7 linked regions of the Nothobranchius furzeri genome follow. The protein of the gene in region 4 interacts with the protein of the main gene of each other region in a pairwise test. Links are inferred from orthologs where the notes say so. Each region holds a gene or a part of one and is shown on either strand. Other genes may lie near its edges. The genes, in order: cwf19l2, bysl, protein FAM110A, trim54, scnm1, leng1 and mfap1.

Region 1 (4,191 bases), on a different chromosome or scaffold from region 4:
AAATGCAGACTTGGCCAATTAAATAATTACTAAGTTAAATGAGTTGCTGTGTTTGAAGAAGCTCTAATTGTAGTGATATAAATTTGAAGATCTCTTAATCCATCAGAGCAATAGTTACGCTTCTGAATTGGCACTTTGGTCATCTTGTTACTGTTTCAGTACATCTAGGGGTGCATCAGTTGCTTAAAATATGGACCGGAAATAAAAAATTGATCTTGGATATGACAAAACAATTTCTTGTGCCTTTATTTTGCATTTCCCTAGCAGTCATTACTTGATGTGACTGTGGATTTGGGGAACATCTTTAATATATGTAATTGCATTCTAAATATAATAACCAGAATGTATGATTCGTACCTAGTGACAGATCTGATTGCATTCACATACCTTCAGTTTTTTTATTTTTACACAGTGGTACATGGCCTGTATTTGTATAGCACCTTCTTAGGGTTCTACAACCCCCTAAGGCGCTTTACAACATCGTGATGAGCTACAGTGTAGCCACAGCTGCCCTGGGGTACACTAACAGGCAAGACCTGCTGAACACTGGTGCTGCTGGTTCATCTGACCACCACCAGCAGGAAAAGTGGGTTAAGTGTCTTGCCCAAGGACAAAACAGCAGCATTCTCTGGTTGAAGCTGGGATCGAACCTGCAGTCTTCGGATTGCCGGACAACTCCCTCTACCTCCTGAGCTACTGCTGTCCCAATGTTTCAGTTCAGCACATAGACATCACATCAAAGTCAAATAGAGGAGAATAAGTATTTGACACATCAGCATTTTTATCAGTAATGGTTTTTCTAAGTGGGCTATTGACACAAACTTTCCACCACATGTCAACATCACCTCAAGTATTTAATTCATGCAAAGACATCTAAACATTTAAGTCAATTAATTGATTTATGTGTAATAAAGTGAAAAGACACAGGCAAAATGTATTAAACACAATGTGCCAAATGCCCAGTGTGGATTATAGCAGGTTGTAATCACTTATGAACACAATTTTACAGCTGCATGTTATCTTTTTTTGCTAAGCAGCTTTACACACATACACACACACACACACACACACACACACACACACACTAAATAAAGAAAATCTCACTCCAAGACTTTTTTTTAACAGAGGTGACCGTTAAATTTTTTTAGAACATTATATATATATATATATATATATATATATATATATATATAGAGAGAGAGAGAGAGAGAGAGAGAGAGAGAGAGAGATAGATAGATAGATAGATAGATAGATATATTAGTTGTGTTTATAATATTTTATAAGTAAATATATTATTTAAGTTCTATAAGAAAATATATATATTTTTTTTCATATTATTTAAATTGATGCGCCTGTCCTTGGTCCTTTTGCACTATGAGCCACAAGTCCTCAGTTGACGTAAACTGCGTTGCTTTACGACAGTTGACAAAACATTCACGACGGTGTCATGGCGACGTATGGTGTTAGTTTTGAGAGTTCGAGCAGCATCGACGAAAAGAAAGAGAAAAAGAGGCAGTCGCGAGAAGAGGTGCTAGAAAAGGTACGCGTTTGCTTTGGAAAAGCAAGATTCACGTGTAACAAAAGGCTATTTCGTTGTGTTAGTTACGGTTTAAATCGTACCCCGAGTTTCTGAGTATAAGCTAACACGCTAAGAAGGCTAACAGCTAGCATTTTAACGTTTGGGTACATCATATCTGTATATCATTCTGCTGATGTGTACTACCTTGAAGATGTATCCGGACAGGAAATTACGAGTCAAACACTGACTCGGACAGATAGCAGAGCTGCCTTTAATTTGTGTTGTATTTGTCTCAGTTATTTACCATGCCCAGTGAGTGTTTGGATTAGAGCAGGTTGTCAGCACTTATGTACACAATTTTACAGTTGCATGTTATCTGTTTCTGCTAAGCAGCTACACACACACACACACACACACACACACACACACACACACACACACACACACACACACACACACACACACACACACACTATCTATTTAGCTCACCTGTGTCTGAATTGACCAAAGTCATAATGGTGGCTGGATCTGATTTATGAAGCTAAGTTTTAAAGAGGAAATGGCTCAGTGTGGTTTAGGAGCTCAGTGTTGTCAACTTGTCTTTTCAAACGATCTTCTCCTTTACACCTCACCTTTTAGAGTAGAGGAGGTAGATGTCAACAAAATAGAAACTGCTTAACTGAATCTTTGTTTTCTTGGTTTACATGTTTTATCATTAATGTCAGACCAGCAGATCTTCCAGAAATACATTTTTACATCTCTGGGAATGTGGAGGAGAAAATGAGAAGGGAGACATAAATTGGACACGTAAATTGGTCCTCTGATGCAATCTAAATGTATGTGTAATAGTAATATTTTGTTTCTGTTCATATTTCTATGCGGGCCAACAGGCAAAGCAGCAATATGAGAAGGAGGAGAGGAGGAAGGAGCTGAAGAGGCTGAGAGGAGAAGATACTTGGATTCTCCCTGAAGTCAACCAGAGGCTGCAGCAGATAGAGGAGGTAAGTAGGGGTGGGTGCAATTAATCGATGTGGCGATGCATCTAAAAGCTTAACATGTTGTTTCGGCATCGATTAATGAACGTCAATGCTTAAAAAAACATAACATCAAAGTTTTGTTGCGAAGCCGGTACTTAAAAAAAAAAACGTAACCGGAGCCTTAACGCGCGCCGCCCGGACTGTTTAGTGAGTGGCACTAACTCTTTGACCTCTTTCTCCATCTTGGAGACTGTCTCCAAACTACCGAAGAACTCAGAGAAGGCGAGGAGCATTACAAAAGCAATAGCTACTGTAATCGCGACGGATCTACACCCGTATTCAGCAGTAAACAACAGGGGGTTTCGGTTAGTGGTGCGCACCATGGAGCCGCGCTACAAACTTCCTCACCAAAAACACTTTGCAGAAAAAGAAGCCCCCCACCTCTACAAGGAAACCAAAGCAAGCGTTCTGGAGTCCATGAAGAAGGCAACCGGGATAGCGCTCACATGCGATGCGTGGACATCGGTTGCCACCAAATCCTTCGTTACTGTAACGGCGCATTTTGTTCTTGCGTCGGACAAGAACGGGTGGAAGTTGGTGAGTCACGTTCTTCAAACTCGAGAGATGAGTGAGAGTCAAAGTAGCACAATGTTGACATTTGCCCATCTCACACAACAGGAGGATGTAGGGGAACAAGAGGGAGGAGAGGGAGTATGAGTGTCACTCTGCTCTATTTTATGTTGTTTATGTTGTTTATGTTGTTTATGTGCTTAGCAGACGCTTTTACCCAAAGCGACTTACAATTTATTTTTTTTAACCTATAGGGCATGTTGTGATTTTGTTGTGTTCGCCTCACTGTACTGAAGCTCCAGGCTGAATATATGTTCAGTTGAATTATGCACTTTTGTTCTGAAAAAATACAACATATTACCTTCAAATATAGCAGGTTTTTTCTGTTACCTATATTCCAGACTGAATAAGCTGAATTTATTTATTTGATCTGTATGGCAGCTTTTTTTGTAATGTTATCATATGCCAGACTCATAAGTTTCCATTAAATAAATTTGATGGAAGTAAAAATCTTGTTTACTTGAATTAATTACCTCATTAAATCCAGGGCTTGCCTGTTTTCAGTGTTTCCCAACAATGGAGGGGACACTAGTGTAAGTAAAGCTTTCCCTGATCGAAGTTAAGTTGGTCAAAGTGCAAATATTTACACGTCATACAGTCATAAAATAAGAATTTGTCTTTGAAAAATAGTTAAATGTTAAAAAAATGTATTTACTTACAGAGAGTAGTTTTAGAGGAACTGAATTAATTGATAGGTTAATTATTTACAAATGTAGATAAAGAAGAAGACAATCTTGTATGAAAAAAGCATTAAAAATGTCAATAATCGAAGAATCGTGGCACCAGTAATCGAATCGAACCAAAAATCATTATAATCGAAGCATCGAAGCTCCCATAATCTAAATCGAATCGAACGGTGAAGTACCCTTTTTGGAACACCCCCAGAGGTAAATGTCACATTGCTTTTAATTCAACAATGAAAAGCATCGCTATTGCTGTGCATGGAAAAAACACAACTTCTTGTTTCCAAAAGATGGTTACTTCCCTATCATTGCAAATGACAACTAATTAGGAATGCACTGAACACAGTCAGCAACATAAAAATAAGTTAATGTTAGTAATCCA
Region 2 (4,033 bases), on a different chromosome or scaffold from region 4:
GATGCTAATGGAGGATTAGCTGCTGTCTGTTGAAGGAGTGACACCATTTTTCTGGCTGGATAAAAGTGTTAATTAATAGGTCAAATTAAGCTTTATATGTGGAATCAGATGTTTAAAAACATTCTTTTGATTTCATTTGTTTGAAAACACAAATCCCTGCAGTTTGAAGGGAACATTCTCCTGTTCTCTACCCTTTTATTCTACCCTTTCTCAGTGGCCTAGTGGTAGAGTGTCCGCCCTGAGACTGGGAGATCAGGGGTTCGATTCCTGGTCGGGTCATACCAAAGACTTTGAAAAAATGGGACCCAATGCCTCCCTGCTTGACACTCAGCATTAAGGGGTTGGATTGGGGGGTTAAACCACCAAATAGTTCCAGAGTGCAGCTGTGTCTGCAGCTCCCCCAGGGGATGGGTCAAATGCGGAGAACAAATTTCGCACACACACCTGTGTGTGTGACATCTAATGGGACTTTAACTTTTAACTTTAACAATCCATGACCTGAATTCAAAATAACTTCAGTTTGAGCCTTAAACACTAGGTGGCAGTGTTGCTCTAAGATCCATCATACTGGGAACTAGTGATGGGTGTTTTTCCATCCACAGTTCAGACTAATAAATGGTGGTAGATGATAAACTAACTCCAGTTCTCACCCACTACAGCTTCCATCCTACTGACTGAAACATTTGACACAGATCTTAAAGGATAACTAGACATGCGTGTATGTTAAACACCTTTAATGAAGCTTGAGCCATAATTAATGTATTGTTTCAAACTCAAGCTCCAGCAGAAGGTTTGTTGTTTATTAAAATACCTGTAAGAGTTTTATCTGAAATCCTCTGACCTGTAGATCACTTTGACATTGAAATCAAAATGGTAAAGATCTCTTTAAGCTTCAGTAAATCAATCTTGGTCATATCAAAGCAAATTTAATGAAACTTTCACAATGTGATTTCTGTGTGTTCATCTAAACTAATGAAGCTGTAAACATCAGACTATAGAGATAAACCGATATGGTTTTTCTATTGCCGATACTGATGCTCATATGTAGAGGTCACGGTCAGTTATGGCTGATATGTGCTCCTGTTTTTTGGGTTGATTTTCATGGCCGATGTCTAGACGTTTTCTAACATATCTGCATCCTAAATTGTCACTAATAACATCTGTTGATGCTCAACATTTCTGAACCTGAATCAGTTTCTGCTGGTGGTGGTCATGGGGACAGGTCCCCAGGGCAGCTGTGGCTCCAATTAGCTCATCATCACCAGCGTGTGAATGGGGGGATGACTGACTGTGTTGTGAAGCGCCGTGGGGGGTTGTCGAACCCTAATAAGGAGCTATACAAATATAGATCATTAACTGTTTTTGAACTCTGATTTTAACCATTTGTTGAATCTTAATCTTGTACACTGATCAGTATTAGGATGAAACATTAAACCAGAGTCACACATCAATAAACTGACCAAGTATTACATATAACTGAGCATTTATCAAGCACTTGTTAGTCAGGAACGTAAAATTAGGGATGCATGATATGTCTGCGTCAGTATCGGTATGGCCGATGTTAGTCATCTGTTAACATATCACATTGGTCCAACGAATAAAACTGGGCCAATATCAACAACCGATTATTTTTCCAACATGATTCCATTTGTGCATCTGTTTCAGAGGGAGGAGGGGTGATTATCTGTAATTGTTTATTCATGTGACAGTGATGGTAATCATCTCAGAAGCGTAAATGTGTGTGGTGTGTATATAATATTGTAAACACACACACACACACACACACACACACACACACACACATATATATATATATATATATATATATATATATAATATCTAGTTTGCACTTTATAGAAAAAAACATTCAAAAATTCAGCTTGCATAATTTCACAATCAGTATCAGTATTTGCCATATTAGGGATATTAATATCGGTATCGGCCCTAAAATGTCATATTGGTGCATCCCTTGTAAGTATACATTTGAATAAAATTTGGCAGCATCGCCGGGCTGCCCACAGATGTGCCCGTTTTTAAATTGGCTCTATAAAAGTGGTATATATCAGCCCAATATAGCGGCCTGTCCCTACATCAGAGTTTGACATGGAGCACTAAGCAGTCTAATGGAATGTAGAAATAAGAGTAAATTCTAAAAAAAACACATTTAAATGAACAGGTAGGATAATTAACACATAATTTTAATGATGTATAAAATATATATAAGCTAAAAGTGAGCTTATTCTCCTTCCTTGTCTCCACTGATGTTTTTCCCTGAGGCTCTGTTTTGCGTTGTAACCTGTAGCAGGTGTGGCAGCCTCCCATCACTCCTCCTCCTTTAAAGTGTTTCAGGATCATGTTTTAAAAACACAGATATTGTTTCATCTCTGACGTATCCATTGCATTACGCTCTACAAACAGCTCTGATTACGGCCTCCACTGTTGTTGATGAGTGTCACGTATAATTGGCGACACTTTAGCTGCTACCTGATCTGCGCTACTTATGGTTGTGCAACTGCAAATTTAAAACAAACCGAGTTCCGTTGGTTGACATTTTTCAGGGATTTTCCCATTTCCTGTGACTCACAAAGACTCATTTACATTGTTTGGTTTGTAAACAAGTCATGTACCATTGTGATAATATGATATATGCTGCTCTAAACATCACTGAAGCGTGCGTTTAATACCTGATTCCTTATAACATAGGTATCCTGATTCCTTTATGTGAGTCTGGGACATGCACCTTGAGGGAAGCCATCATCATCGGGAGCATTCTCACAAAATGCTCCATTCCTGTGCTGCACTCCAGGTTGGACCTCCTCACACAAAAACACACATGTGTTAAATCAAGTCTGCTGTTACATAACTTGTGTGATCTGTCCTTTCTTTCAGCGCTGCAATGCTTAAGTTGGCAGAGATGGAGTACAACGGTGCCAACAGCATTTTCCTGCGTCTGCTGCTTGACAAAAAGTACGCCCTGCCTTTCCGTGTTCTAGATGCCTTGGTGGCCCACTTCCTGTCTTTCCGCAACGAAAAACGTGTTCTTCCTGTGCTGTGGCATCAGAGTCTGCTCACCCTGGCCCAGCGCTACAAGGCTGACCTGGCCTCAGAGCAGAAGGCAGCGCTGATGGAGCTGCTCAAGATACAAACACACCCGCAGATTTCTGCAGAAATTCGCAGGGAGCTACAAAACTCTGAGTCGAGAGACACTGAAATCGGGCTCCCTATAATGGTTGAAATGGACTGATTCAGTCTGATGTGGTGCACCATTCTCCACATTCATGTTCCCTCTTTACAAAACAGACTTTGCTGTTGTTCATATACAAGGAGGAATTTAAACTTGTTTATGGACCTCAGAGATGTTTTCTGTGTTCTGCCTTGACTTGTTTTCACAAGTGAGACTCTCACCAGTGGTGATGTAGCTGCAGTTTCACAACGGTAACACAAGTCTCTGAGCCTGGGAACACAAACTCCTTTCGGATTAAAGTCGTAATTCTGAAACCTGTCAGAATAAAAACCAAATTATACCTCATAAATTGGTTGTTGATTTTAATTTATAGTTAACATTCGCTAACCAGAAACATGGAGTATGTGAAAAGGCCTCTCTGAGAAAGGTAACTCAGTATTTAATTTATTAGGAGCACTATAGCAAAGATTAAATGCGGAATTGAGAGGCACATTTCTAGGTATGAACATGGAGCAAAAATGATTTTCTAGATGTTTTTTCTGGAGCAAAGGGTACGTGCTAAAATTTGCAGAGTTAGAAATGAAAGTTGCACAAACAAAATGTGTCATTACAGAGCTGGTTGTAAAAATTCCAGTTAAAGATGGCAGATGGGCGTCAGTGGGAACAAATTATTACTGAAGTTATGATTCAGCCTTTTTGATTATAATTCGATTATTATATCTAATTTTCTTTGAAAATGTGAAAAAGTTATTGGAGAAAATGTTATATGATAAAAATGAACATAAATACAACTTAAATCAACATATTTGCCAAATTATAAATTTTCAAAACTACAGATGGGAACGTGTT
Region 3 (3,953 bases), on a different chromosome or scaffold from region 4:
ATAACTTCAATAATTTCACGCTGATGAACACATGAACATAATCCTGTTTAGTGGATGCAAATACAACATGAAGTTAGCTTAACATGATAGATGTTTTTTCTTGGAAGGAAATAATAACTGGTAATATTATGAATGACATGATATCCCCCCCCCCCCCCCCCCCCGGAATTACAATTAAAACATTTACATTAATTATAATTAAAAGTTCCATTTGTGACATGTAGCTGTAACTCTACTGCAGATATAGATAGATAGATAGATGGATGGATAGATGATAGATAGATAGATAGATGGATGGATAGACAGATAGATAGATAGATAGATGGATGGATAGACAGATAGATAGATGATAGATAGATAGATAGATAGATGGATGGATGGATGGATGGATGGATAGATGGATGGATAGATGATAGATAGATAGATAGATGGATGGATAGATAGATGGATGGATAGATGATAGATAATATGAAGAAGTTCAGGAGAGTTGGATGTTGAATTGTCCTCACGAAAAGAAAATTTGTATTAAACAAAGGTCAGTTCCCTCTAAAGTCAGAGGTATGGAGGATTAGGGCCACTGAAAAGAAAAGAAAGAGAATTTGGACTTTTTTCCCTGAATTCCCTGTCAGAATTCTGAGATTAAAAGTCAGAATCTGAGAAAAATGTAAGAATTCTCTTTCTTTTCTTTTTTCTTTCTTGTCAGTGGCTCTAATCCTCTTCCATACAGAGTAGAAATAATACCCCCCCCCCCCCCCAAATGGCCAGCGACTTGTCCGCTCCCAACCCCATGACCCCGTCTCACTGTTTGAAATGTTCAAAAGTTGGCAGCCCTGTTCTGTTCCGTCTGAGGTAAAACTAACATTCACCCTGAAGGAGAACACCTGACCTTTGACCCTAATTCGTTTGGACTGGTGTGTCTCACCCTCTTCAGAAACGAGACTGAATGTTGTCTATTCGGGCTTCCTGAGACAAGACAAAAAAGGGTCAAAGAAAAGAAATACGCATTAGTAATCAGATTACAGAACGAGACCGGAAGCGTGACCTTTGGGAAGGATCCCAATCATTCAGCTTGCTGATAGGGCAAAAACAAAGAGAGCGTCACGTGGCCAGAGAGCTTCGGCTTGCTTCCTTGAAGGAACCTGATTGGTCCAATCATCCAAAGGGGCGGAGCTTCGAGCAGCACGCGAGTTGTCAGACAGGTTTGTCTTCTCGGCTTGAGCTGTTTAGAGGTTTCAGACAGTCTCGCTTTTGTCCTCACAAACTCCTCAGGAGCTCCTCCAACCACTCAGGTGAGAGCCCGGTAGGGCGAAGAGTAGAAGTAGGAGCAGGAGATAAGTTTAAACGGTTATTTAGAAGGTTCCGCACGCGCCTTGAGTTAGCTACCTGTTGTTTACCTGTCAGCGTTTCCGTGTTAGTCAGAAACTCCAGGAGCCCGCTCCTGGTGGTCAGGGCCGCCTCCTGAGGTTCCCCCCTGCCTCCAACCCTCCCAGGAACACACTGGTTGTTGCTTTTGTTCTGGAGGCCTGCAGACCTGAAGGCAGGTGAGGTGACGTCCCACGGCTCGGTCCGCAGGAGCCCGGGCCCGGCTCAGACAGGAATGGGAGCTATGTGCAGAATTTTCCTGGCAGACGGCTCGGGAGGCCTCCCGGAAGTTTCAGCCTCTCCAGTTTGTTTTTGTTTTCATGGATCCCAAATGAGGCGTGTGTGTGTGTGTGTGTGTGTGTGTGTGTGTGTGTGTGTGTGTGTGTCTGACAGCTGGTCCTCTGATTCACCCCATCACCCTCCTCACGGTCCCTCCTAGCTGCAGACCAAGTGTCAGTCTCATTGTGTGCCAAAAGATGGATGACTGAGGAATTGTTCTAATCCGACTTGCGCCGCCAGCCAATGGACTTGGAAGTCTGGGGGAGTACGTGGGAAGCCATTGGCTGGGAGAGTAAATAAGTGGGCGTTGGGGTTTCGGGTCTTTTGTGCCGTGAGCAGTCCTTTCTGCTCCCCTGACTGATGTTTGTTGTCCACAGGGAGCCCAGATGTCCAGGCTGAGCTGCTGAGATGGCATGAGGATGACGACCGAGATTAAATCCAGGTTTTATAATCTAAGGTAGCTGAAGGACAACTGGAGCTGACACCATGCCTGTGGAGACGATGCAGCAGCCTCCACGGCAGCCAGTGAGGGCTGCCGTCGGGGTTTCCCCTCCGCGTCTACGACCCAAGGGACCAGATTTCTGCAGGAGAATCGCAGCAGGAGCACCAAAGCAGAGTGCCGTAGAAAGACTGGAGGCCGACAAGGCCAAATACGTCAAGAGTCAGGTGGCTCTTTCCAGAACGCAGCCAGTCGGGCCTCCTGAGGTGAAAAGGCCTCTGCTGAACCCCAACACACCCCTGCGCCCCACCAGAAAGCCCAACCTCCAGACTGGTACGAAACCAGAGGGCGTCCAGCTTGACCTGGAGCACCTTAGTCACCTCATCAGTGATCTCCCAGTTGGGCCAACGCCTAACTCAGCGTCCCAGTCAGAGGACTGTAAGGCTCCTGGTGGTGCTGTGACTGCACACGGTTCCCTGTTCAAAGCTCAGCCGATGACGGACAAGCCACGCCCCCCTCCACGTCCCCTTCTGCGTCCCGACTGCTCCAGTCCAGCTAAAGTCAGACAAAAGGTACCTGCAGCTGCCGGGACAGAGAGTCCAGGTTCTCCTGGGGCTCCGGCTGCAGGAACCGTACGCAGAGTGGACGTCATGCCTCAGTTTGGCCCTGTGAGGACGGCCTCCAGACCCCCCCAGTTCATACGGCAGCCCCTCCAACCCAGACCTCTGATTTCCCACGTACTGCTGCGCTCAGCGTCGTCGCACCAGCGCGTCTCCCAGCCAAAAGCTGCTCCGGGTTCTTCTCCCTTGAAACCACTTGTTGCTCCAGTAAAACCCGACCACTCTAACCCACCTCCCGCTGACGCTCCTGCACCACTGCCCCCCACCCTCCCCGATTTCCCACTTCCTCCCCCCTCTCCAGCCATCACCCGTTTGTCATCCTCCAGCTCCAGAAAGCGTCCGTCATTGACTCGGTCCAAGTCCGACATGAGTGACCGGTACTCCCGGGCCGGGACGGAGCTGGAGCGCTTCTTCAACCTGTGCGGTCTGGACCCGTCGGACCTGCGTGAGCTGGCTGCTTCCAGCTCCGACATCGTGTCCCTCGCTCGCTTTCACAGCGTCAGCGCTCCGGGATCGGAGTGTGGAGGCTCGAACAGAGGGGTCAAAGAGGAAGAGGAGGAGGAGGAAGATGCCGGGAAAGCTGCAGACCGCGTTCCCTATGGGATTTCTGTGATTGAGAGGAACGCCAGAGTGATCAAGTGGCTCTATGGGCTAGGGCAAGCCAAGGACGACACAACCAAGAACACTAATTTATAGATGGACCGTCTGAGTTTTATTATGAAAGGGAAACTCGTTTCCTCTTTCAGAGTAAAAGTGGCTGCCCAGGTTGTTGAGTAAACCGGTGAAAGGCTGAATGTGAAGAGTCATCACCGTTGGCTGTGGTGATGATTTCCGCCCACCATGTTTCAGCGTGCGCGGATCGTCCTGTTGATAAAAATTACATTAAAGAATTCACTCAAGCTCTTTGTTTGGTCCTCAGTCATCACCTCAAACATAAAACAACGCACTCAGCATCAGCAGGTGTGTTTTAGGACACCTGAGACCAGGGGCGTGTCCAGGGGGTGGCCTGGGGTAGCACATGCCACCCTTGGAATCTAATTGGCCACCCCAGGTGCCACCACACTAATTTACCTTCAAAAAGGCTTTTCATTGTCCACAAAAGGCTTGGGGGTAAAACAAAAAAAAGCATAACCATTGGTGCCACCCATGCACAAAGTTGTGCCTCACCTGGGCCACCCCATTTTAAAAGATCTGGACACGCCACTGCCTGAGACCCACACGAACGGGAACTTCGAGTTTTAGGCGTCTCTTGA
Region 4 (4,174 bases):
GGCATGATGGACAGCGGAAGCGTCCGCTGCTGGAGGAGCCTCGAGGCTGCCACAGAGGGTTGGTGGCCTGGTTGAAGACAAAAACTGGTTTTCTTGGATTTTTGTTAAAAGACATTTTATCATTTATCTTAATGATAAACAGGAGGCTGTTTAATGGGTTGAGGTTAGTCAGCTGGAGTCATTTTTAAAACGATGATTCTCAGGAACATCTTATACGCTTTCTAAGTTTATTACATCGACATATGTCGATGTAATAATAAATATATATATGTATATATGTTTATTATAACAAATAATTTATCTTTAAATCATAAAATGAAAACAATTAAAGGAACCTTCACTCATATCAGCATTGGAGGACTAATTCAAACGCTTTCAAGGTGATTTAAAAAAAAGTGTTTTTCAAATAGTGATCTGACTTTTTCACCACAACAAATAAGAGTTATTTTTTTATGTTTATGATTTTATGGCTGTTTATGGTGATAAATAAAACAACAAAGCTACAATGATGTGTTAATATGCAGAAAGGCACCCTTTTGTCTGAATCTGCTAAAATGAGCCTTTTTAGGGCCTGTAGCTTGGAATTAGTGTTACCATGGCAACGCTTTTAACAAACAGCCACAATAAAAAGCACCTCGAACTTGACGGAGCTCAAATACAAGCATGCACCTGCACACACTGTGCATCACACTGACTGGCTCGGTTGGAAGAAGTGGTAAATCACTTTTAATGACAATTTGAGTTACCATGGCAACAGTATTGCCAAAATATACATTACAAAGCAACTCTAGCTAAATGTAGTTGCTCTATGTCAATACCGAAGATGTTTATGAAGTTCTTTGCACTAAATCTCTCTCACATAAAGCAATTTCAGCAGTTTTATCATTTTCAGTACTTTCCAAAATGAGCCATTTCAGGGCTCTGTCACTTTGAGAAAACATTGCTGGCCACACCCACCAATTTCCTGATTGGTCCCTATGAGGTGAGGAGCTCAAATATCCAACAGGGGCTCAGAGTAGAGCTGCCGCTCCTCCAGAGTCGACATGTGAAGGTATTTCTATGCTTATTTGCCCATTTTTGAAATCACAATCTGGGACTTCTTGATTTTAGGCACGTAATTCCTGAAACCAACGACGGACAGAACATGGATGGATGGGGTCTTCCTGCCTGGACTGTTTATGGAGTCCGTAGACTCACGACGGCGCAAAACAAATGCAGAAGGTGAGTTTTGCATAATTTGTCTCCTTTAAATCAATCATCTATCAGAGAAGGTGTTTGCTGCTGAAGTTCAAACTGAGCATCAGAATAGAGATTTACGGTGGAATGTTGTTAGTACCAGGCATGATGGTCTGATCTACCAGGATTTGAACCCACAACCATCTAGGGTCTACAGAGGCTGGTCAGACTGGTTCTTGATGATTGAAAGACAGCAGTGGTTCCTTTAGGACCACACCAGCTGCTCCAGGTGGACTCCAGCAGCAGACGACCACACCAGGTGTCAGCTAAGAACATGAAACTGAGGGTAAGTCCCACAGGATCACCAGAACTGGATCAGGGGTTCTGATGAGTCTACCTGTTGATCTTCATGCTCACCTGCAGGACGTCGTTGGCACACCCACGACACAGGTTATGCTGGCAGGGCAGGATCACCACAGGTTTAGAGAACATCTCCAAGCACACGGGGCAGATCAGCTGTTTCTCCAGGTTCTCCATCGTGGTTTTGCTACGGGTACCGGGCTCAGAACTTCCAGGTGTTGGAGGTTTGAACCCAGAAGCAAAGCTCATTGCCTCAGATGGCGAACAGGTAAAGATTCTGCTGGCGTTTGTGAGATGTTTGGTTTTTATTGTAGATGTGACTCTATTCTTCCCCCTCTGAAAGCCCGTCTGGCTCGGATTTACGGACCCTCCCATCAGATATTTTTAGCTCTAGTGTTTGTTCTGGATCGGGTTTCTGGGAGCTCCGGGTGTGGCAGGAGGGTCACCACTATCAGAACTCTCTGTTGATGTTTCCATGAAGTCCGACACCTCAGAGAAGATCCTGGAGACACGATGACAGACGTTCCTGGTTGTTAACACTTCAGATGATTCCTTAAACCCCACAGCTGATTCCTGACTGGTCCCAGTTAAACCAGCCCACAACTCACTTCCTGTTTGCTCAGATTTGGGAGAAAATAGTAAAATCTTGTTGTTTTTTTTGTTTAAATCCTGAGTTCTTCTCCTGAACTGACTCAGAAGTTTTATTTTGTTCATAATTTTATTTTTTTATGTTTCAAAGAAAATCTTGAGTTCTCTGTGAATGGTTGTCATGACAACACGAAGAGTTCATTTAGATTCCTGCAGTGATTAACAAGATTATCTATGAGATGTAATGCTACACGGCATCATATCTAATCATCTTTGTTCTGAGAACGTCCAGCTGATCAGAGCCACAGACATCCTAAAACAACTCTGACTCAGTAAATTCATTTTTATCTTTTGTTTTCCTCTTAGGAGACGCTAAAATTAGCTCTAGAATGTTTGATGGCGTCACTCAGGAGGATGAAAATAAAGCAGGACGAGATGCTGAAACAGAAACACGAGACGCTTCCCTCGACTGAAACAGCTGACAGGATCAATTTAAAGTTTGTTTTTATTTAATTTGATGTCATCAGGAGGAGAAATTAGTTTGTTTCTCTGAGAGAAACAAAGAAATGATCAGAGGAGATGGAGAGTCTGGATCTATCCCAAACTCAGACAGCTGCTGGTGTTGTAGGTGAAATCTGAGGTGTAAAAGGTGAACAGAAAGGGTGAGAGCGCCGTACCCTGTGGAGCTCCAGTACTGCACACAAAGGCACACTTGGCAGTTTTGCTTACCTTTAGCACCCCCTAGTGTACGTATTAATTATCTTTGGTCAAATCAATAATCAAACCTATCTTCTTGCTGTGCATTCCTCTTTTTAAATGGACACTTTAAAACTTTTTCATACTTTTAAATTATTTTCTTGAGCCAATGCTAAAATAACCCTTTACAGGGTTAATGCCCCCATCACCCCCTGTGGTCAGACCATCGTGTTCCGGTCTGTTGGGACTTAGAAAAAATTGAGCTGACCTACCGGGCGCTGCTGTCTGGTTCCAGCATGTTTTCGATCATGAACACAGCTGATTTGTTTCGTTTAGTGATGACTCACTCCTCTAGACACTTAGGAACTCTGGGAGACATTTTGGCTGTTAGATTAAAGTGTTAAAAAGAAGAATGCACAGCGAGATTGGTTTCGCTTCAGACTATAGGGGGTGCTGAAAAGCAAGCCTATTATTTCTTTAACGCATGCCCCCCCCCCCCCCCCCCCCAACTTTTTCCAAAGTCAAGTTTTGACCCCTGCACTTTTTACCATCCAAAGACAATATTACGCTATATTAAGTTGACACTGGTTGAGCTCTAGGACCAAGCAGAAAACAACCATTGTGTTGAAGCCTGTTTCCCATTAGAACATACTGTGAAGACCCCCCCCCCCCGTGTCCCCCCACTTCTAAAGTGAAAATTATGTCCATGGTTGTGAGTCATCACTACATCAACAAATCAGGTGTGTTCATAATCTAAAACATGCAGGAAATGTGCTGGAAGCAGACTGAAGCACCAGGTATGTCAGCAATTTTTCCCCCCAAGTCCAACAGGTGCCCAGCAGTCCGAAGTTGAAGGTCTGAGCGGCATTTCATTAACCCTGTAATGGATCATTTTAGCACATACTGACTCAAGAAAATTATTTAAAAATATGAAAAAGTTACATAGTATGGCTTCAAATACAGAACAGAAGGCAGAAAAAATATAAGTTAAATAACAATCTTCACTGACAAACCATTTTATATAATAATTTCATGGAGGAGGCCATCGGCTAGCACACTGCTCTGTGTGTGTGTGTGTGTGTGTGTGTGTGTGTGTGTGTGTGTGTGTGTGTGTGTGTGTGTGTGTGTGTGTGTGTGTGTGTGTGTGTGTGTGTGTGTGCTCTGTCTTCTCCATCCCCAGTGAGTCATGGTGGATGGCTGCTTATACTGACCCAGGATCCTCTGGAGGTTTCTTCCTGTTAAAAGGGAGTTTTCCTCTCCACTGTCACTAAATGCTTGCTTAGTATGAGGATTGCTGTAGTTTTGGAATGTTTACTGTGTGAAGTGCCTTGAGACGACTCTTGTCGTGATTTGG
Region 5 (4,101 bases), on a different chromosome or scaffold from region 4:
ACCTAACACTCAAGTTTTTGGACTGTGGGAGGAAGCCGGAGTACCCGGAGAGAACCCACGCATGCACAGGGAGAACATGCAAACTCCATGCAGAAAGATCCCAGGCCGAGAAGCAAACCCAGGACCTTTATATATATATGCATGGTGGCGCAGTGGTTAGCACTGTTGCCTCGCAGCATGAAGGTCGCAGGTTCAAAACTCGCCTTTCTGCGTGGAGTTGCGTGTTCTCCCCATGCATGCGTGGGTTTCCTCCGGGTACTCCGGTTTCCCCCACACATCACAACATGCCCTACAGGTTATTAAAAAAAAACTTGTACGTCGCTTTGGATAAAAGTGTCTGCGAAATGAATAAACATAAACATACACACACACACATATATATATATACACACACACACATATATATATATATATATATATATATATATATATATATATATATATATATATATATATATATATATATATATATAGAAAGAGAGAGATAGAGAGAGAGAGAGAGACTCAAAAATGTAAGCCTAACTAAAATAGGTTGTTTAAAATGTAAATAGTTTGTACTTACAGACACTCCGTATTTAAGGGCCAGGCCCTGCAAAGTCTCTCCCGGTTGGACGACATGTTCCACGACTCTGCGGCGAACCGGAGACTGTGAAGGTCGGATCAAACTGCCGTAAGATCTGGTTCGGCTTCCGCGAAGGAGGCCCCCTCTCCCGGGAGGCGATGGCTCTCGCTCCCCGGACATTTTGGTGTATCATTTGTGTTTAAACCCGTCCAAGGTGCGGCAGAATACAGAGAGCTGTAAACTTTAGCTTTTACCAGAGAAACATGTATGTAAGAACTAGCACACGACCCAACTATTCAAGCTTCTTTCCTTTTTAAACCTGCTATTTTAAGCTTAGCAATACAGCACCTGCAGCACACACAGGGCCTCTGATGTAAAAACCCCGTTAAACTATATGATAAACCTATTTTACACACCTGAAAAGTTATCGTGAACTTGTTAGCATTTTCTCGTATCTCGTGAAGTCAGCAGCAGCAGTAGCAGCTACGCTGGTTGCCATGGCTGCCTGGGCTGGTCACATGATTCTTAACAAACGGTGCGTTTAATACAATACGAATAACAGAAATCACTTTAAAGTTGTTCGAATTCGTTTTAGGAGTACCTAACGTTTAAACTGTTTCTGCACTTGAGCAGTCTTTTTTAATGATAATTATGAGCGACAAATAATGGATATGATTCAGAAATGTTTGTGCACACTTTAGTTCAAAGCTGAACTCCGTTCTAAATTTGGAGGTTAGAATTTCCCATGCGTCGATTCTTCTGTGAACGCATCAGCAGGGCTAGCCTAGCATTGACAAAAAGCAGCTAATCTGGTTCCAACTTCAGTTTAAGAGTATATGTCATAGCAATGTCTTTTAAAAGAGAGGGGAATGACAAGAGTCAACTCAACATTCTTAAGGTTAAATATTGTTTTATACGTTGTCTGTTTCATTAAATATTATACGTTTGTGTAGTTAGCATCATGTTAGCATCCTGTTAGCTTCCTGTCCTGGGAGCACTCACTATTTCAACTTTGTTGACATTTTTCAGAAAAGGCGTGTGGCCGATCTGCTGTCTCATTTTATTCCTGAAGACGAAGCTGCGCTGCTGAAAAATGGAAGGTGAATTTCGGCTTGACTCACGTTCGGAAAAGAAACAGACATGTTGTTACATTAATAACTGAAAACGTGTGTGGTTTTTTAGATATACTTGTCTGGTGTGCTCCTACCGTCCCGTGTTTGATACGGTTGATGTGCTGACCGTCCACAGGCAAGGGAAGAAGCATCTAGAAGGTAAAAGTGAGCTTAAATGTGTCATTCCCTGTGGGTAAGGGATGAGGTTTGGAAGAACTTTTCTAAGTCAGGTGTTATGATTTTCTTACATTGTCTGACATCAAAGAAACACTTGAAAGTATCTGATGATATTGTGGGAAGACAATAGAACATACAGTCTGATCAATTTGTTTATTACAAATCATTAAAACAACAGCACGTGGTTTTTACTCAAAATCCAAGAACTTCACCCTGAGTTAAAGTATGGAAGAGGATTAAGGCCACTGAAAATAAAACATATGAAAAGAAAGACATCAGATTTTTCCCCTCAGAAATCTGGCTTTAATCTCAGAATTATTAAAGTCACAATCAAGAAAAAAGTCAGAATTCTGAGAAAAATGCCAGAAATCAGAGATTAACTCATTAACTGCCATTGACGACTAAAGTCGTCATTTGCATTTTTTTTACTATGTGGGCGTCGGAACGAGCCCCCGCACCGTGAGAACAAACATTCCAGCTATAAGCTGATCTTCATTCGTGTACGTCACACGCCACGTGATCAGGAAGCAGAAAATCCATGTGTTAGGAGATCGTTTTGGGCCACAGCTGTAAAAAAATAAGTGAGGCGCAAACCGGAAAAGCTTCTGCCGATCACAGTTCGACTACAGATTATGTAAGAATGGATAACACTCGAAACATGTAGATTCTGAAGAAGAAGAAGAAAATATCATTTCTATGGCGCCTCTCAAGATAAAAATCACGAGGCGCTTCACAAAAACAAAAAAATGTAAAAAATATAAAAAAGCATTTAGAAAATGTTTAAAAATTTATTTCAAATGAGCAAAAATAGACAATTGGGATTTAAAAGAAAACAATTTTAAGAAAGAGAGAGTGAATAGGAAAGAGGGAAATCAGTGGATCCTGAGGAAGGTGGAATAGGTGGGGAGAGCAGAATAAAGAGAGAGGGGTTGAAGAAGGCCATACAAAAGCCAGCTTGAACAAGTGAGTTTTCAGCTGCTTTTTAAAGGAGTCCACTGATCTCAGGCTCAAGGAGAGAGAGAGTTCCAGAATCTGGGGGCCACAGCAGCAAATGATCTGTCACCTTTGGTCTTTAGACTGGTGCGTTGCACAACCAGTAGGCTTTGATCACTGGACCTCAGGGACCTGCTGGGGGTGTAGGGACTAAGAAGATCACCAATGTAAGATGGTGCTTGTCCATGTAAGGCCCTATAGACCAGAACCAGAATCTTGAAATGAACCCTGATTCTGCCTGATGTAAGAGGTGAGTCTACTCTTCGTTTTGTTAGTTTTGGCGTTGACATCATCCTAGAGCACAACGTTCATTGACTCTTAAAGAAACAGTAGAAACACTGAAAAACGCTGGCTGCGAAGGGCTTTTCTGATCAGAGAATGGCAGGAGTGTGTCCAGGGAGTGCCCTGGGGTAGCAAATGCCACCCTTGAAATCCCAGGTGCCACCCCACCGAGTTCCATATAAATTGACTTTACATTCTCCACAAAAGGCTTAGGGTTACAATACAATAACCATAGGGGCCACTCGTGCATAAACAAGTGCCCCACCTGGGCCACCCCATTTTAAAGAGCTTGGACACGCCACTGGAGAACGGCTGGCAGTTAGTGAGTTAAAGTCAGAATTCTTTTTTTAAATTTTTTTTCTTCAGTGGCCCTAATTATCTTCAGTATTAGAAAAGACAAAACAAAAACAATCCATAATTACTTGTATACCAAAAAGTGTTTAAAAACCTGAGCAACAAAGAATTAACAGCTGTAAATTAATCATATGCAACTTGTGATGCATTTTAAATATCAAAATGCATACTAAAAAGGGGTTAATAGCTTGTTTTGATTATCGATATTAACATCGCTACACCACTGTACTATAGTTACAGTGGGAGTCATGGCATGGGTGGGGACTTATTTCATTCACACTTCCTGTTAGGAAAACACTTCTGAAAGAGGTGTCACCTGGTGGACCAAGAGAGCGACTCAGAGGCAGTGATAGACAGCACTCCCCTCAACCCCCTCTGCGTGCGCTGTCGGAGTTTCTCTGTCGAAAAATTAGTCATTAACAAGTGCACACGCATGCTCACAGTAGACTTACCTTTCTGCAGTATTCTGGAGAATTTCCTGTTAACTGCGATCATTAGATGAAAAGGGGAGGAGGGCTTTTTTTTAAGGAGGCGAGCGATTCAAAGGCTCTTTAAAGGGACTTTATGGAGTTTTGAATTTTTATGCTCGCGATTGCCCCCTCAGGCCAAAAGCGTAACGGC
Region 6 (4,236 bases), on a different chromosome or scaffold from region 4:
TCCTGTTTTTAGGTACTTTTCGTTCAAACACGTCTAGAGCTTTCTTCATTTCGTTCAGGGGATCCAAACTACTCTTCAGCCTCCGATCCTTCTTCTCTTTCTCCTCTTCACTTATTCCCTTCTTTTTGTCTTTCTCTTGACTTTCTTTGTCTTTGCTGCTCTTCAGGTACCACGGAGTCACCTCAGAGCCTGGCTGGGGTCCTAAAGACACCAGTAGGCCGATGGCGCGTTCCTGCTTCTCCTGGATGAGAAGATGCAGATTATATTTAAACAAAGGGGTTTTTGAAAACAGGGTATCTGCAGGTTTAAGGGAGACAAATTTAAGACTTTTTAAGACCTTTTTTAAGGCCACTTTGACCAAATTTAAGCTATTTAAGCAAGGCAGCGGTAGCTCAACAGGTTGAGCGGGTTGTCCAGTAATCGGAAGGTTGCAGGTTCGATCCTGGCTCCGGACAGAGAATTCTGCTGTTGTGTCCTTGGGCAAGACTCTTAACCCACCTTGCCTGCTGGTGGTGGTCGGAGGGACCGGTGGCGCCTGTGCTCGGCAGCCTCGCCTCTACATCGTAGCTCATCACCACCAGTGTGTGAATGTGTGTGTGAATGGATCAATGATACACTGTGGTGTAAAGCGCTTTGGAGTCCTTCCTCTGACAGGCGCTATACAAGTGCGGGTCATTTATCATTTAAGCTATAATTTCCAGCTATTGCCTGGAACCGGTGCTAACCACGCCGCGATCATGGGATTAGCCATCCAGTTACCATTAAACTTGCCCTTCCCCATGGCGCAAGCTCCCACTAGCTTAACCAGCTAACGTGCTCATCTAAAAATAGCCCCCTTTCACAACCAACTGAACGTGTACGGTTCCGCTTACGGCAACATCGTACACAAAAATGCTGAACGCTAACTAGAAATTCATGAAAATTTTATAGAAATAAAAGAATCTTGTTTATTGGGTCTTTGGTAATTTAAGACCTCTGGAAACTGTATTTAAGGATTATTTGTCATTTTTAAGGATTTTTAAGGCCTTAAATTTGGAAAAGCTAATTTAAGACTTTTTAAGGACCCGCGGATACCCTGGAAAAGGTGTTACTGAAGCAAATATAAAACCCCAAAAAATAAATAATCCACACATGTATTAAGGTTTTTCTGTCACCTTTTCCTCTTTCTTTTCTTTAAGATACTCCTCGTTCCCCTTCTTCTCTGAAGACTCCTCCAAAGGGAAGAGGTTGAGGTGCTCCAAGCCTCCTCCACCTTCCTTTTCATCATCATCATCTCTGCTTCCTCCTTCTGACTGAAGAGCAGCTCGAGATTTCCTTCTCAGATACTCTGTACGCGCCTGTAGAAACAAAAAGCTGTTAGAATAAACTAAAGATATAAATAATAAATAGTTATTTTGGATTGTAAGCAAATGCAGCTGAAGACATAGGACCTAACTGAGCTTTTGCAACAAGCTGAAAGCAACTAAATCCTAAATAGCACTGTGTAAAGCAGATTATTTGCTAAATTATACAACTTTGAATTATGTGTATCGTCTGGGACATTTGACAGTGGTACTATTGTTGTGGCTCTTTATTGTAATAAAGTTACTCATGATAAAGTGCTCTTGCCTCATATGTGCACGCAGCGGTTTAGATAGAATCAACGAGGAGAGAGAACGTGACGAAGCTCAGAATGTTTTCAGTTTTTCTTATTACTGAAATCATTGCTGCGGTTTTAATCTACATGTGGCATTCAGATTGTTTAACATCTATAACCTTAACATTTCTACACTTTTCCAAACTCCAAACATCCACCTGACCTTCGTGTGACTGGTTCTTTTGTCTTTCTCCCCAAAAGACATTTATTTCTGTATTTATTTAGTTTTAAATGGTCAGGATTAAAATCTGTGAAACTCTTTTGTTTACTTTTGATCATTTTTCCAGAACTAATTTCTTAAATATTTCAATTAAAGTGCCAGGTACCCTGTACATTCGGCTGATTTGTGGTTTTTCTATGCGTTACAGTTGTGTTGCACTCAAATACATTTTCCACAGTAGTAATGATACTTATATCGCTTATTAAGAAGAAGAAGAAAATATAATTTCTATAGTGCCTCTAAAGATAAAAATCACGAGGCACTTCACAAAAACAAAAATGTAAAAAAATAAAAAAGCATTTAGAAAATGTTTAAAAATATATTTAAAATGAGCAAAAATAGACAATTGTGATTCAAAAAAAATGTTAAGAAAGAGAGAGAGTGAAGACTAATGAATGACCATGCTAACACCAGAGGGGGACTACCTCTTGCTCTGCTCGCTCCACGCGACGCTTGGCCTCGCGCTCCTCTTCTGCTGCCTGGGCTTCATCCCTCCGCACGCGCGCAATGTTGTCCTTGTTGCGGACGTGCCAACTCTTCTTCGGGAGGATGTTCATGGTTGCCTTGGTGACCGACAATTAGCAGTCAGCTAGCTTAGAAAGCTAACGACAAGAGAAAACACTCACTCTGGTCAGTTAATATATTGGTGTATAGTAGAAATAAGCAGGTTATTCGACAAAATGTCTAAATACAGAAGCAGAATTTTTCAAATACGCCCAACAATCAAATATGCGTCGCTGTTTTCTTTCTTTTTAGGAAATTAAGCTAAATAGGGAAGGTCGCTAGTACTTGCCAATGTTTTGTGATGACGCAGAAGAAAATAACGTGGACCTTACTCACTCACATTATCTATTTAAGTTGACTACTTTCCTAAAATATAATAAATGCTATCAATGACGAGCTAACGGAGGAGTAGCTTCTGGTTTGTTGCGCTCACAGGAAGTAGTAGAGTTAAACAGGAAGTAAACAATAATCGTGTTATGTAATTACAATATGTAACACCAGGGGGCGCTGAAACTCTACTGGTATTTGTACAGGTGCCACAAAAATATTTACCGGTATGTCCCAAATATATATATTTTTTGCTATAACCAAAAGATGTCAAAAACAATGTACTCATTATGAAAGGACAAAAAGGTAAAGTATATGTTGGCTTTGGAATGTAGCATTTTGTGAAATGCATGCTCTTTCTTGTTAGCATTTTTGGTGATTCTGCACCCGAGGTTGTTTTATACAAAAGAAAAATAGCCTCTCAAAATCATAAATAAATTCTGTGCATGTTTATTAATTCAACACTAATGTTTAGAACAACAATCAAAATTATACTGACTTTAAATAACAAATTCTCTTATTGTTTCAGCTTCACAACAGAAACGCTGTAAATGAATATAGTAATTGTCAAATGAGATCTAGTCTGGATTAATGAGATTTCTCCCCCCCAGAAGACATATTAGTTACTTCATTATTTAGGTCAGAAAAACTAAACGTGGTCATCGGTTGTGTTCAGTCTTGTACTTCTGCTCTTAGTGCTGGCATCAGATGTTGCAGCTTTAGTCTTTCAATCTGTTTGACCAAAAACTGCTTATCTTGACCCTCCTGAAAATCAAAGACATGACATTGGACAATATTAGCTACCACTGAGGATATTATACAAATGATCCTTGATCTTTGTAAGTAGGAACAACATACCAACTTAAGCTGAGCTTTGAGCATCTCAACACTTTTTCCATAGATGGAAGCTAATGCTACAAAATAGCACATAATCACGCTGGCAGAGAGGAAAAAAGGCACTGTGATAATCTGTAGATTAAATCTAATAAATAATAAATATTTCACAAATGCACACTCACCATGATAAAGCAAAAAGAGGTATGGAAAATGCCTGTGAGCCAATGAAGAAGAGAAAATCCTGTGTAACTTTAGAGAGACAGTAGAAAGAGTTTGGAACAATCTTCCACATGGAGGGGAAGAAGCGGAAAGGCCCACACGCCATCGAAGGGTTGATCCTGTTTGGAGAGGTGGAAAGAATCCTTCTTAAAGTGTTTAGTGATGCCCTGACTGTTCTGACTTTCTAAAACGCTGTTTTGTTGGAAATATTAAGGATAAATCTGCAGCAGTCAGCACTCACACAGCAAGGCTGTAAATCATAACAACCAGGGCCAACGTCCAGCCAAACAGAAGCACCACCAGGAAAAAGAAGGTGGAGGTGGTGGACCGAAACGTCTTCAGCGCTGGCCGACAGTTGTGGAAGAGTGTGATCTGTGGACACGCAAACACAATATCATCACTAATACAAATAATTATAATGTATGTGAGAGGGAAAAAAACAAGTTTTATGTTAAATTCTTCACCTTCTTGCAGTAAAAGAGGATGACAAATT
Region 7 (4,039 bases), on a different chromosome or scaffold from region 4:
TATGTAAACAACCTACGCTACCCGGCCCAGGCTGACCCGATACAGATGGGAATGGCCCATTATACTCGCTCCCACCTAGCAGGAGGCTCTGATCCATTCAGACCAGAATCGCTAGCCACAAGAACAGTTTCTTCCCCTCCACGGTCAGACTCATGAATGCCAATCGTAGACCTGCCCACTGCAGTTGCTTTGTTTCAGTCACCTGACCCTGTGTTGTGTTATCACGTAAACTGATCTGCTCTGATCACTACCTACACTGACTTGTTTATTGTAGCTGCTTCTCTAATTATTGCCTCCCTAAATAATGGTGTTTATCATGTTGTCTACCTTTTGTTTGCCTGGCAGGCTGGAACACTGAGCGGGTCCAGGAGTACTTTGTTTGGGCCTCTGAGGTGGTGAAAGGCCTGAAAGGAACTAACTCTGCCCTGGAGGGGAAGCTGGAGGACTTGTTCAGAGAGGCATTCAACTCTGATGGCAAAGCCACACGTCTATACTGTTAAAATGACAACTCAAATGCACCTTTATGAGTGAGCTTCAGAAAAAAAAGAAAGAAGTGTGAATGTACTGTCTGCTGCACTGTCATTTGTATTATTGTCAAATTTTTAAAGTCATGCAAACCAGAACAGAAAATTAAAAGAATAAAAACATATGACATTTCTTTTATAAGTCTGGTTCATTGTCATCAAACCTTTCAAATAATTTTCACACAGACACAAAGTTTTTTTTTTAGATAAGTGAAGAGTTGCTTATTAGAAAGTCAGTCAGATTAGCCTTTTGTTTTTAAATAAACCATGATGCCAAAGTTACAAGCCAACCTCAGTCCATCCTATTACTCTGTTAAGGGTCAGGGCGTGCACTTATTTATTGTGCTAGTAAATTGAACTTGCCTGGAGCAGAAGAAATGTAGTTTGTTAAGCTGCCTGTCATTTTTGTAAAAAAAAAACGGAATGTTTGATGTTGGTTATATTTGTTAGGGTGAAATCGGGTTTCTGATCATAATGAAAAAAAGCTTGACTTGAAGGCCTATCATGCATGAAACATAAAAACCACCAAGGGGCGGTGATTTACAATTTACAATTTAATCGATTTTAATTAGCTTGATGGTCATTTAGAAAACACGTTTATAAAAATGCATAAATGTCAGTTTTGTAAAAACAATTTAATGTGAGACGCTTTCCTGTTCATTTGATTCTTGAGTTTTTGGTTTTTCTCTTCGGAACAAATGCACTTCCTGTCCGTTCGCGGAAGTTGTTCAACTTCCGGTTTTGAAACGAAGCAGCCAAGAGATTGTTGAGACTAAGCGCAACATCCTTTTATTTCACGTCCATAGTTTTGTGTTGTTGACCGGGCAGTCATGTCTAGTCACGAAAGCGTCAACATGAAGCTCCCACCGATCCAGTCCACGGCAGGAGCCGTGCCCATCCGGAATGAGAAAGGTGAATCGTGTTAGGGTTAGCTTCCATGCTAATGTAGCATCTGTTATGTAGCGTCAAAAAACGCGAGTTAAGTTTCTAAATAACTAATTCATTACTCAGCAAAACAAGCTGAAAAGCAATTTTGTGATGTTGGTTTTTTAAGAGAGTAAAATGTGTGTGTGTGGTGGGAGTAACAGTTTAAAATCTAGAAATGGAGGAACAACTGACAGTTTACATTTTTTTAAACAAGATTCAAGATCTTTGATGATCCAACACAAATGTTTATAAACAACTGGAAAAAATATATTTTAAATAGCTTTTCAACTTTTTTACGTGTTAGATAAGTCATCTGTTAAGTCCCTTAAAAGTATTCATGGGCTTTTGTAACGTCATTTATCTGTCTACCTAATAAGAGCTTGTCTGAGACATTAACTCGTTGTTTTAAGCTTACGTCTGAGTTTTGGGGTCATTTTATTACTCCCAAGGGCGAGGGGTATGCTGTATCTGTCTGATTTAATTTAAATAAATCTGCAACATATTGTTTTACGTTTTTTATGGTTGAGTGTTTTTTCCTGTTTAAATACTCTTGTACTAAGCTTGAGGAAGTGTATATAATCATGCCCTTTTCTGTACACAATGTAGGTGAGATCTCCATGGAGAAGGTGAAGGTGAAGAGGTATGTGTCAGGTAAACGTCCAGACTATGCCCCCATGGAGTCGTCAGATGAAGAGGAGGAGGAATTCAAGTTTGCTAAAAAGGGAGTGGAAATGGAGCTGGAGGTAGAGCAGCAGGAAGAAGATGTGAATGACCCACGTCTCAAACGTTTGCTCAATCGAACTTCTGAGGACGTGGAGGAGAGGTATCACTCAGTTTTTCTGATTAAACTCAAATTCTGTCAACATTTTGAGTCAAAATGTTTCCCGTTTGTTTGTGCTCAGGCTCGCAAGACACAGACAGATCGTAGAGCCTGAAGTTGTTGCTGAGAGCAGTGAGGACTCTGATGAAGGCACATGGCACCCTGAGCATCAGGAGAGCAGCGACGATGAAGAGGAGGAGGAGGAGGAAGAGGAGGAAGAAGTGGATGATGAGGTAGCAATTGTGCACCAAAAAAATAAAATCCTTTTAACTTTTTTGTTGCATTTTGAACAAATTATTAATTTGCTCATCGTGCTTGTGACCAGGAAATTGAGAGGAGGCGAGCAATGATGCGCCAGCGTGCAATGGAGAGGAAAAATGAAGAGATGGAAGTGATGGAGGTGGAGGAGGAGGGGAAGTCAGGAGAGGAGTCTGAGTCGGAGTCAGAATATGAGGAGTACACAGACAGTGAGGATGAAGCAGAGCCGAGACTTAAGCCTGTTTTTATTCGCAAGTGAGAACTAAACTAAAAATGTTTCAATAAAAATTCCAGATTCAGAACACTAGCTCAAATGTTTTTTTTTTGCACTGCAGAAAGGACAGAGTCACTGTGGCAGAGCGCGAAGCCGAGGAGCTGAAGCAGCGAGAGCTGGAGGCCGAGGCCAAGAGGCAGGCAGAGGATCGGCGGCGCTACACCCTCAAGATTGTTGAGGAGGAGGCTAAGAAGGAGTTTGAAGAGAACCGGCGCTCGCTGGCTGCACTGGAAGCTCTGGACACTGACGGGGAGAATGAAGAGGAGGAATATGAAGCCTGGAAGGTCCGAGAGCTGAAACGCATCAAGAGAGACCGAGAGGCCCGGGAAGCGTAAGTAAACTGCAGGATTCCAAAGGATTTATGGTGAAAGAGTGATGCAGTTCTCTTCAGGACGGTCATTTGTGGTGTTTTGTTGTCAGAATGGAGAGAGAGAAGGGTGAAATTGACAGATTCCACAATATGACGGAAGAGGAACGCAGGGCGGAGCTACGCAACAGCGGCAAAGTCGTCACCAACAAAGCCTCCAAAGGCAAATACAAGTTCTTGCAGAAATACTACCACAGAGGAGCCTTCTTCATGGTGAGTCCCAGCAGACACAAGAGTCCTTTTCACGGGATTGTCACCAGGATTCATAAAAAAGCAAATTTTTAAGACAACCAAGAGATTTTCCTAAAATCTTCATTTACAGCTGCAGTGTCTTTTCTTTGACAATTATTGTGTGATAAAAACGGCGTACCCTTTCTTATAACACCTTTATTATTTAGATGTCTGTAAATGACAGGAAATCCCACCAGATTCTGAAGGAGGTGATCGTTTGTGATGGGTCACCAACAGGTTATACGTGTAGGGATTTATTGTGTGGTTTTTGTGTGTTAGGATGAGGAGGAGGATGTTTACAAGAGAGACTTCAGCGCTCCTACACTGGAGGATCACTTCAACAAAACCATCCTACCCAAAGTCATGCAGGTGAGACCCTTTCGTCTTGGGGTGCAACGAAATGAAACTTTGGGCTGATGTCGATATTGTTATGGCTGATAATCGATATTTGTCGATGCGACATATACAGGCTGACATTTATGCTTCTGAAGTCAGCAGATTTTATGGAGACTTAAAGTTATGTAAGCAGAAATTTTGGACGTCTTTCTTTTTATATATATTCAGTTAATATCGGTCCAGTTGTCCTTATCAGACCGATACCGATATGTAAAACATAGATATTGATGCCGATATGTCAT

What was found.
Region 1: the proteins of trim54 (region 4) and cwf19l2 interact in binary tests that used the Homo sapiens proteins (3 or more experiments, as listed by UniProt). The two-hybrid records come from large-scale screens. The link is inferred for Nothobranchius furzeri from reciprocal best matches to the Homo sapiens genes TRIM54 and CWF19L2.
Region 2: the proteins of trim54 (region 4) and bysl interact in binary tests that used the Homo sapiens proteins (3 or more experiments, as listed by UniProt). The two-hybrid records come from large-scale screens. The link is inferred for Nothobranchius furzeri from reciprocal best matches to the Homo sapiens genes TRIM54 and BYSL.
Region 3: the proteins of trim54 (region 4) and protein FAM110A interact in binary tests that used the Homo sapiens proteins (3 or more experiments, as listed by UniProt). The two-hybrid records come from large-scale screens. The link is inferred for Nothobranchius furzeri from reciprocal best matches to the Homo sapiens genes TRIM54 and FAM110A.
Region 5: the proteins of trim54 (region 4) and scnm1 interact in binary tests that used the Homo sapiens proteins (3 or more experiments, as listed by UniProt). The two-hybrid records come from large-scale screens. The link is inferred for Nothobranchius furzeri from reciprocal best matches to the Homo sapiens genes TRIM54 and SCNM1.
Region 6: the proteins of trim54 (region 4) and leng1 interact in binary tests that used the Homo sapiens proteins (3 or more experiments, as listed by UniProt). The two-hybrid records come from large-scale screens. The link is inferred for Nothobranchius furzeri from reciprocal best matches to the Homo sapiens genes TRIM54 and LENG1.
Region 7: the proteins of trim54 (region 4) and mfap1 interact in binary tests that used the Homo sapiens proteins (3 or more experiments, as listed by UniProt). The two-hybrid records come from large-scale screens. The link is inferred for Nothobranchius furzeri from reciprocal best matches to the Homo sapiens genes TRIM54 and MFAP1.

What each region holds. Positions count from the first base shown.
Region 1 is NC_091753.1:35,505,606-35,509,796, reverse strand, and holds the start of cwf19l2 (CWF19-like protein 2), read left to right. Parts: upstream 1-1,391; 5' UTR 1,392-1,447; coding exon 1,448-1,540; intron 1,541-2,409; coding exon 2,410-2,520; intron 2,521-4,191.
Region 2 is NC_091743.1:46,638,541-46,642,573, reverse strand, and holds the end of bysl (bystin), read left to right. Parts: intron 1-2,703; coding exon 2,704-2,806; intron 2,807-2,889; coding exon 2,890-3,244; 3' UTR 3,245-3,533; downstream 3,534-4,033. UniProt on the Homo sapiens protein: Required for processing of 20S pre-rRNA precursor and biogenesis of 40S ribosomal subunits. May be required for trophinin-dependent regulation of cell adhesion during implantation of human embryos.
Region 3 is NC_091755.1:41,859,566-41,863,518, reverse strand, and holds protein FAM110A, read left to right. Parts: upstream 1-1,153; 5' UTR 1,154-1,289; intron 1,290-2,018; 5' UTR 2,019-2,127; coding exon 2,128-3,396; 3' UTR 3,397-3,599; downstream 3,600-3,953.
Region 4 is NC_091742.1:14,248,914-14,253,087, reverse strand, and holds the start of trim54 (tripartite motif-containing protein 54), read right to left. Parts: upstream 2,801-4,174; 5' UTR 1,912-2,800; coding exon 1,594-1,911; intron 68-1,593; coding exon 1-67. UniProt on the Homo sapiens protein: May bind and stabilize microtubules during myotubes formation.
Region 5 is NC_091745.1:65,775,966-65,780,066, forward strand, and holds the start of scnm1 (sodium channel modifier 1), read left to right. Parts: upstream 1-1,301; 5' UTR 1,302-1,409; coding exon 1,410-1,460; intron 1,461-1,591; coding exon 1,592-1,662; intron 1,663-1,744; coding exon 1,745-1,833; intron 1,834-4,101. Other genes in the region: lysmd1 (lysM and putative peptidoglycan-binding domain-containing protein 1), read right to left, coding at 563-742. UniProt on the Homo sapiens protein: As a component of the minor spliceosome, involved in the splicing of U12-type introns in pre-mRNAs. Plays a role in the regulation of primary cilia length and Hedgehog signaling.
Region 6 is NC_091745.1:76,666,511-76,670,746, forward strand, and holds the start of leng1 (leukocyte receptor cluster member 1), read right to left. Parts: upstream 2,801-4,236; 5' UTR 2,650-2,800; intron 2,459-2,649; 5' UTR 2,414-2,458; coding exon 2,282-2,413; intron 1,338-2,281; coding exon 1,155-1,337; intron 242-1,154; coding exon 1-241. Other genes in the region: voltage-gated chloride channel TMC4, read right to left, coding at 3,360-3,452, 3,546-3,624, 3,707-3,862, 3,985-4,115, 4,208-4,236.
Region 7 is NC_091749.1:30,004,238-30,008,276, forward strand, and holds the start of mfap1 (microfibrillar-associated protein 1), read left to right. Parts: upstream 1-1,239; 5' UTR 1,240-1,354; coding exon 1,355-1,436; intron 1,437-2,057; coding exon 2,058-2,274; intron 2,275-2,353; coding exon 2,354-2,504; intron 2,505-2,596; coding exon 2,597-2,784; intron 2,785-2,864; coding exon 2,865-3,134; intron 3,135-3,223; coding exon 3,224-3,383; intron 3,384-3,680; coding exon 3,681-3,770; intron 3,771-4,039. Other genes in the region: hddc3 (guanosine-3',5'-bis(diphosphate) 3'-pyrophosphohydrolase MESH1), read left to right, coding at 346-500. UniProt on the Homo sapiens protein: Involved in pre-mRNA splicing as a component of the spliceosome.